Cricetulus griseus: one gene and its partner. The protein of the gene in region 2 interacts with the protein of the main gene of each other region in a pairwise test. Links are inferred from orthologs where the notes say so. Each region holds a gene or a part of one and is shown on either strand. Other genes may lie near its edges. The genes, in order: Fabp2 and Agr2.

Region 1 (4,302 bases), on a different chromosome or scaffold from region 2:
TGCTATATACTGGATATTCGTGCAGATGAGGAGTGATTATCATTAGTGATAAAGTATGCAACAGGTAGACTGTCCCTGCAGGGCTGACAAGATGACTCAGCTGGTGAGAGAACTTGCAACACAAGCATGAGGAACTGAACTCAAATCCCCAGAATCCATGTAAAAAGCCAAGTGTGGTCACGTATGCCTATGACACCCATGCTGTAGAGAGCAGAGCTAGGAGGACCATGGGGCTTCATGGCCACCAGCCTGCCTCCGGATTGAGTGAGATACCCTGTCTCAAGGGAATAAGATATGCAGCACCACAAGGCACTTGATGGCCTCCTCTGGCCATGTGGGCATGTGCAACCACTACACACACACATACATACATACATACATACATACATACATACATACACACACACACACACACACACACACACACACACACACACACACGTACTACAAATATACTTGACTAGAAAATCTCTGAGACTAAAAATACTTCTTAAAAATTAATTGAAAAGAGTGAGTCCCTAAATTTTTTTTATGTCCATTGAAAGGGACATTCTTAATGACCTATAAAGTATTAGACTTTTACATTTGGCTACTCACCCACTCATTAATTGTTTAATTTTTTTAGATTAAATATCATGTAGCTCACTCTAACCTCAAACTTACTCTACATGTTTGGAGAGGCTTGACTTTACGATCCTCCTGACTCAATTCCCACATCTTGGGATTACAGGCTTGTGTGACCATGCCCAGTTTTTATACAGTGCTGGAACCACAATCCACGGTTTTGTCCTTGCTACAGTCTCCTGAATCTGCTACATACCTGGCTTCTCAGTTTATTGTCCAAGTACATATATAAACACTTATTGTGTTTCAATATTATGAACATTAAAAGCTTGTAGTCTCCCAGCAGGAAGAGTTGAAAATACAGAACTTTACATTTCCTTGTGTGGTGGTTTGAATGAAAAAGGCCCCCATAGACAGTGGTACTATTAGGGAGTGTGACTTTGTTGGAGTGGTGTGGCCTTGTTGGAGGAAGTGTGTCATTGTTGGGGTGGGCTTTGAGGTCTCCAGGCTAAAACTATGCCCAGTGACACAGTTCATGTCGTGTCGCCTGCAGATCAAGACACATTAACTCTCAGCTCCTTCTCCAGCACCATGTCTGTCTGCATGCCACCATGCCTCTCCATGATGGGAATGGGCTAACCCTCTGAACTGTAAACAACACAATTAAATGTTTTACTTTATAAAAATTGCTGTGATCATACTTTCTCTTCATAGCAATAGAAACCATAACTAAGACACCTTGTGACTATTCCGATACTCAGTCCATCTAATCTTATTGTTCAGTATAACTTTTTCACAGATGTCTGTCACAATAAAATACTGTATTTAAACATTTAACCAACGTGTGTAACATAAAATATGAACACACTTTGTTTGCCTCTTCTTAGGAATGAATTTGAATTAGTTGAACCGTTCCATGAGATCAACCACTTTGTATTGGTAAAAAAAATCAAGAATGTATTGTTTATTTTAAAAATGTCTTACATTGAGTTCCGTTCCATCTGCTAGACTATAGGTAAAGTTGACACCAAGTTCAAACACAATGTCAATGTTGCGAAAGGTGCTTGATTCTTTGACTGTGAATTTATTTCCGTCCTGTGTGATGGTCAGTTTCAAATTGTCGTGAGCTGCAAGCTTCCTTTTCACCACATTAACACCTGCACAACGAGAGAGATTGGAAGGAACAAGAAATGAAAATGCCTCGGAAAGTGTTTCCCTTTCTAAACTCTGTCCTGGTTTGCTCATGTTTATTTTGTGGGTGGAGAAGAAAGAGCAAATAGGGTTGTGTGTGCACAGCAACACTGAGATGCTTCTAGAGAAAGGGGAAGCTCTGGTAGACCCAGAGAACTGCTTCAAGCAGCTTTTCCAAACTAAGAAAAATGGAAATGAAGCAACAAACTGTAGCACCTTAACCCTGGGTCGTTTTAACAAGATTAACAACCTTTTTGCTTCAGAGTTAAGTCAAATTCCAGCAATGTCAAATGGAGTATTAAAAGGTATATTCATATATTAAAGAAACACAAGTTCAGTTCTGGATATTTATTAACTTTCAACACTACTTTGCTTTCAAAATTGCATTTATTAATTTATTTTGTTGTTGTCATTTGATACTGGGTCTTGATATATAACCCAGGCAGGCTCCAAACTTGCCAGATAGCCTAGCACCCTAGCCTTTAATTCACAATTCTCCCATTTCACTCTCAAAGTGTTAAGATCACAGGCATATAGCACCATGCTTTGCTTGCTTCATAGTTATATTCATTTTTGTGGCATTCCTGATTAGTTGCAAGCAAGAAAAAATAGGGGTTTTATGATGAAATACATTATAATATCAATGTACAGATATCACAAATTTAAATTCAGAATCCCTAAATTATAAACCATAATTCATGCAGGTTTTATTTTGGGAATGACACATAATTTTTGCCCAGTTTTGTAGTGGGTTGCCAGAATATTAGTGGACATTTATAATGTAATCAAATTATACATCCATAAAGAATACACAGCTTTCTGTGGTTATTCCTGAAGTTACATAAGTCAGAGAAGAGAATTACATAGAATTTATTCAAGCTGAGTTTTGATAAAATTCTTTTCTTACCTTGTTGAAAGATCCTTCTTTTTACCCCCAATAATCCGGTGTTATTTTAAATTCTGGAAATTATCATAACACACACACACACACACACACACACACACACACACACACACACACACACACACACGTGTGAATTTTCAGCTAACAGGCAAGGGAAGAAAACACAAGGTCTCTAACACTTGCCCTGGGAAGACAAGATGTTCTTCCTAAAGCAGGAAGAGTGGATATGGATTTCCTGGCTCTATAGTCACACCTGGAGCCTTACACATCACCAGTCATTCCCTAAGGCACAGGCAGGAGAAAGCAAACAATGAGCCGCCCAGGTAGACACTCTTACCCATTTTCTCCATGAACTTATCATAGTTGTCACTCCGGTCTACTTTCCAATTGCCGTCAAATGCCATGGTCTCAGTTGTGTGTGCCTCTGGAAAAGCAGAGATTCAGTCTTGTCTACAAGAGAGAATTTATTCTACTTCTTATCTTCGAACCAACTCATACTGTGATGTGGAAGTTTAAAGTTCAAGAGATTACTTAACTACCTTACATGCCACGCCCCTTTAGCTTCTCTTTCCATGCTTTCCTTGACTCTACTTCTGTTATTCCTTTTGAAAAGTGGATTGCTCAGTTCTCCATCATGAACTTTATAAATGGCATCATGTATTCTTGTTGTAATGTCAAATTATAGACCTAGGTGCTAAAGCCTACAAAGCATCTTCTCAGGCAACAAACTTAACAGAGATTCATGAATTTTGAAGCCTGTGGATGGTGGTGGCTGTTGAGGGAGAGTCAGTCGCTGTCCTTTGAGGACATGGCTAGTAGGATATCAATGCTCTAATAGGTAGACCCACATTCACGGGTATATGGGCAACAGTTATTGTAACAACCAAGGAGGACATGAAGTTGAAAAGGTGATGGGATGGGCGCCATTTAAGGGAGTTGGAGGGGGATGGTGGAATGTTATGATTAAATTGGATAAAAGTATGAAATTGTCAAAGAATAAATTTAAATGTTTTTAAAGAAGCCACAGGTTGGAGAGGTTGCTCAGTAGGTTATGAGCACACAATGTAGCTGGGTGGTGAAGGCACACACACCCCTTTAGTCTCAGCACTCAGGAGGCAGAGAGATGGATCCATATAGTTAGGGCATCCTGGTCTACAGTGAGTTCCCAGACAGCCAGTGCTGTATAATGAGACTGTGTCTTAAACAAACAGAGAAACAAACAATACCAAAAATGAATAAACAAAAAAAAACCACACTACTCTTACAGAGGACACATTTTGATTCCTAGTATCCACATAGGTTGACTCTCAACTGTGTGTAACACCAGTTCTGGGGCATCTGATGCCTTCTTCTGGATTCTGTGAGCCCTTTGCTCATGCATACCCAAACCCTCACACAGACACATATACACACATAATTAAAAACACAACAAATATTTTAAACTAAAGATCCAATCTTTATTACAAAGGTAAAGTCAATCTCTGGCCAATGGACTAGAAATATGATATATTTAAAAAAGAAGCATGTGTTTTAGAAATGAACCAGGCTTTAGTATTGCAATCAAAACACCCACTACCATGAATGGCCTCAGATTATCCAACATACCTGAGACTCAGTTTCCTCACACATGAAGACAGTAGTGC
Region 2 (4,339 bases):
CTAGAAAGGGCACTCACCATGAGTGGTGAAACAATTAAGAGAGGGTTGGGGGACTGGAAAAGGGTTATAGAGTATATAAACAGAAGTAGGGCTCTAGGGATTAGCAAAGAGACTAGTCGGGGTAGAGGCGCAAAAACAAAGTGCATATGAAAGTGCCATAGTGGAACCCATTACATTTAAAACTAATTTAAAAAGCTAATCAGAAAAGAGACTGTGTCTCTCAGTGTACCATGGGCCTAAGGTACTGCCAGGGAACCTCTCTGCAAAAGTTCACAACACAGATGAGAAGACACGTGTCACAGAGCAGAAAGAGCAGCCTGTGATACAGGGCAGGAGGCAAGAAGCGAAGGGATGTGATACTCAAAAAGAACCAAACAACTCAAGGAGGAAGACTTGGAGGAGCTGTGATTGGACCGTTTGTTAGAGAGTGGAAGCCTGGCTAAGGCGGGAGGGTTGGTGATGGAGAAGTGAGACAGGATTCCTCCTGAAGCGAAAGTCCAGGACGCATGGGAAGATCTGGACAACCAGAGCTCTCGCCCATGGAGAGAAAGAAGTTACAGGGATTTGTGAGCCAGGACTCGAAGGAGATGGGCAAAGGCAGTGATTTGCAAAAATACCGAAAACCGGTTACTATAGCAGCACAGAGATCCTGACCATTAAAGAATATTTTTCAGATAAGATTATTAATTACAATAAAACATGTGTGCCACATAAATTACTAAGAAAGAGGTGGAGGACATGACTCAGTGGCAGAATGTTCCTTGGCATGTGCCAGGTGCTGGCCCCAATGCCAGTAATGCAAAATTTCAAAATAAGATTATTAATAAAGTAAAAGATTGTGGGTTTCTCAGCTGTACGATGGGATACTGGGATGAGATTCTAGTTAATGCAGCATGACTGAGATGCACAGAAAGGGCGAATCAGACGTTGAAGCCAGAGGAGACATGGGTGATGATGAGGGGAACTTACAACCAGGTTGAGGAGAACAAACTGCTCTGCCAATTTCTGGATTTCCTTATTTTCAGCAAACACTTTCTTTAAAGCTGTAATATAAGAAAAAAAGCAATTGTGCTTTATCTCAGTTTTGATTAGGACTTTTGCTTTCTCTTTTCTTTTAAGTTGAAAAGTGTTTTAAATACAATGCCTACGTTGCCCCTCCAGCAAATGATTTGTGATGTTACTGAGTAACTATGTTTTGGCAGACATGATTTTATACACTAGGGAAAATACCTTGAACAGAAAAGCACACTTCCAGAGGTCAGATGCTTGTGTGGGAACCACAGCATAAACCAATGCATACTACATATGTAATTTCATATAGTTATACATACACAGGGGACAAATAAAGTGAGGTGAAGGCTTAAAGAGCTACTAATTTGTCTTGGCACATCTCTTTTAGGAGGTGACTCTGAGGTCAGAGAGTGTCCAGACCATTGGGGACAGGTTGCTATAAAGCCTTGGTTAATAGGGATGAGCTGTATGAAGGCAGGCTGGATAAAGTGGGAATATGTGATCTTGACAGGAAAGGGAAACCAAGCTCCGGCTGGATGGATTCCAGGAATCAGGCTTTAAATTTTCTTGTGATGAGAAGCCACCCGGGGCACACGAGTGAAGGATCTGAGTTGTATTGAACAGCTTCAGTCTGGCTTCTGTGTAGAGGGCTGACTGCTGTAGTCAGTGGTGATAGGTTTGGTATGGTGGACAAGGTGCCATGTTGGCTTGGATTAAGGTGGTAGCATTGAGGTAATAGAAGGCATTTGGATTTGGGCAAGAAGAGCTACCTAATATACAAAGACCAGCGGGAAATGAAAATACAGAGCCCCTCATGCTAGAATTATTAAGTGAAGACAGCATTGAGTATATTGCACCAAACATGGGGAGCCTGAACAAGTGGGCAGGTTGCATGTGTGGGAAGCTAGTGCTGACTGGAGATATCTTTTAACAGTAAATCCAATGGTATTTGTTGATATATCGCATGAAAAAGATGGAAGAAGTTAATCGATGAACCCCAGCATTTCTTAACCGCCGAGCCATCTCTCCAGCACCCCCATCCACAGCATTTCATACTCAAAATATGCAACAATAGTTAATTCAAAACATGGAAACATCCAAATGTCTTTTTAAATGTTTTAAGATATTCTTTCTTGTTTAAACAGTGCTAGGTCCTAGGTACGTAAAGATGAGTGATCCAAACCCTGACCCGACACAAAAGCTTCTAAAAGAAATTTAGGAGAACAGAGTACCTTGACTGTGTGGGCATTCGTCCAAGTGATGAATGATCATCAAGGGTCTGTTGCTGCGAGAGAGAAGACATTATGGGATGTTTATTAGGATGCCATGAACACCTGATAGTCACCACTAGATGGCGCTCATGAGAGACTCCAGGAGCTTCATGTAACCGGCCTTACCTGGTCTTGGATTTGTATAAGGCTTCTTCATATGTCTGAGTCCAGATGAGCTGATCGCCCCAACCTAGAACAAAAGGAGTTGGTATCTTTAAATCCACCACAGTTTCAGGCTCAAGCCTGTTGAAAAGTGATGGTAAAAACCCAGATAATATGTACTTAGTACTAAAGAACAAAAGCCTCCGGAGCGGGAAGACCTGATTATTAACTATGCTAAATCTAGAAAAAAAAAATCCACAAATATCTTCAGCAGACACATTTAATACCTTTATGAATTAAGTTGCAGCTGGGAGCCAGCAAAAAGTTGACACCTACCTCTGGAGAGGGTCTGGGGCAGTTTGGGCCGGGAGTCCTTTGGGTCCTTTTTGGCTCCAGGTTTGACTGTGGTATCTTTGGCCAGGGTATAGGAGAGGGCCACAAGAAGCAGGAATGCTGACACTGAAATTTTCTCCATGGCAATCTACACGGGAAATAAACAGGAAGGAATTAGACTCTACAGAGTGTATCACAACAGTGGAAAGCAGCGGGAACCGGGTTACGCTGAGATAAGATGGGACAGGAGTGGACAGGAGGAGGAGTTTCCCAGGAATGCTTATTGAGGTGTCCAGCCATTGTCTATCTGCCTTCACTGTCTTCACTTTCTCTATCAGTGAATACATAATATTTGTTGTATCTTATCTTACAGTAGAATAACACATATTTTTTAAGGAAATATATAACTAGGTAGACGCATATATTTGGCTGCTAGGGAAATGCACATTTAAAAGTTATACTAAAAAGCATAGTAATGGTAGGTAATTTGGGGTACCTCTTTCCCCCCTTTCTCACTGTGTAGATGAAGACTCTAAAGTTCAGAGAGATGAAAAGATTTTGGGGATGAGTTCAGAGCAAAAGTGTTAACTCCCGTCTCTTTTCCTGAACATTCACCCTTACAATGGAAGCGACAGCTTGCCTTAAAGAATGGATGTCAATAACATGACCACATCTTACTTCATTTACAGAATGCTGGCTTCTTCTCTGGAGACTCGTTCCTTTTCTCTATTGAGGATCTGCTCAAACAGTGTTAGCTGTGAACTGATCAAGGCACATAAAATGAACATTCTTTGCCCTTGTCTGGGCCTGTGTGGCAGGGGAAGGCATACACTCCAGTACACAGATGTAGTCTGTGATGAACATGACATGGAGAATAAAACCCAGGATGTTTCTGTGTTAAGTTCCCTTTCTCCTCCTTTGCTATTGGACAGTTAATTACTAGGAAAAGCTGCAGCAGATGACCATGAGTAGGGCTCTAAATGACAAGACAGAATGCATGAGTGCAGGAAGGAAGGCCAAGCAGGTTGTGTTTCATGTCACTCAAAGTACGTATGGTCTGTACCTTGGGCTACTGAAGACTTCGAATCTGGTAATGCCAAATTCTAATGGTGCCCAGAAAGCAATGCAGAACTAGAGGGTCCATCTGTAGTATTGGTATCGTTCTTCATTAAGTCAAATAGACTCTACCAAGGAAGCAGGTAGAGTGTCATGGTGTAAGTGCTTAGGAGAGAGAAGAGCCTCATAGACTGTGAGCCCAAATGAGAACCTTTGCTAGACGTTAGAGTAGTAAAAAGAAGTCAGTCACCAACCCAAGTGATGCCTTAAATTAACTGACCAACAGTTATCCAAGTCACAATGTACGGCCACACAGAGGCTCAGAAAAGATACAGGCTAAAGCAGTAACACAGTGTCATACGTTTCTACATTCGTATGGATGCAGGAATGCTAATAATGATTTTCATCTTCTGAAAGTCTGCAATTACAACTTAAGCTTATAAGCCAGCGACACCTAGCATTTTACTGTCACTCCATTGCCATCTCGTGTTAATGAATGTCCTTGCTGGAAGTTTCAGTGACTCTGTTGCTGTTACTTCAGAAAGTGCCAGCTCTCCCCTCTGACA

Evidence for each region.
Region 1: the proteins of Agr2 (region 2) and Fabp2 interact in binary tests that used the Homo sapiens proteins (3 or more experiments, as listed by UniProt). The two-hybrid records come from large-scale screens. The link is inferred for Cricetulus griseus from reciprocal best matches to the Homo sapiens genes AGR2 and FABP2.

The regions. Positions count from the first base shown.
Region 1 is NW_023276806.1:35,615,100-35,619,401, forward strand, and holds the start of Fabp2 (fatty acid-binding protein, intestinal), read right to left. Parts: upstream 3,064-4,302; coding exon 2,997-3,063; intron 1,722-2,996; coding exon 1,549-1,721; intron 1-1,548. UniProt on the Homo sapiens protein: FABPs are thought to play a role in the intracellular transport of long-chain fatty acids and their acyl-CoA esters. FABP2 is probably involved in triglyceride-rich lipoprotein synthesis.
Region 2 is NC_048598.1:165,725,782-165,730,120, forward strand, and holds the start of Agr2 (anterior gradient protein 2 homolog), read right to left. Parts: upstream 2,860-4,339; coding exon 2,721-2,859; intron 2,473-2,720; coding exon 2,409-2,472; intron 2,297-2,408; coding exon 2,244-2,296; intron 1,044-2,243; coding exon 970-1,043; intron 1-969. UniProt on the Homo sapiens protein: Required for MUC2 post-transcriptional synthesis and secretion. May play a role in the production of mucus by intestinal cells. Proto-oncogene that may play a role in cell migration, cell differentiation and cell growth. Promotes cell adhesion.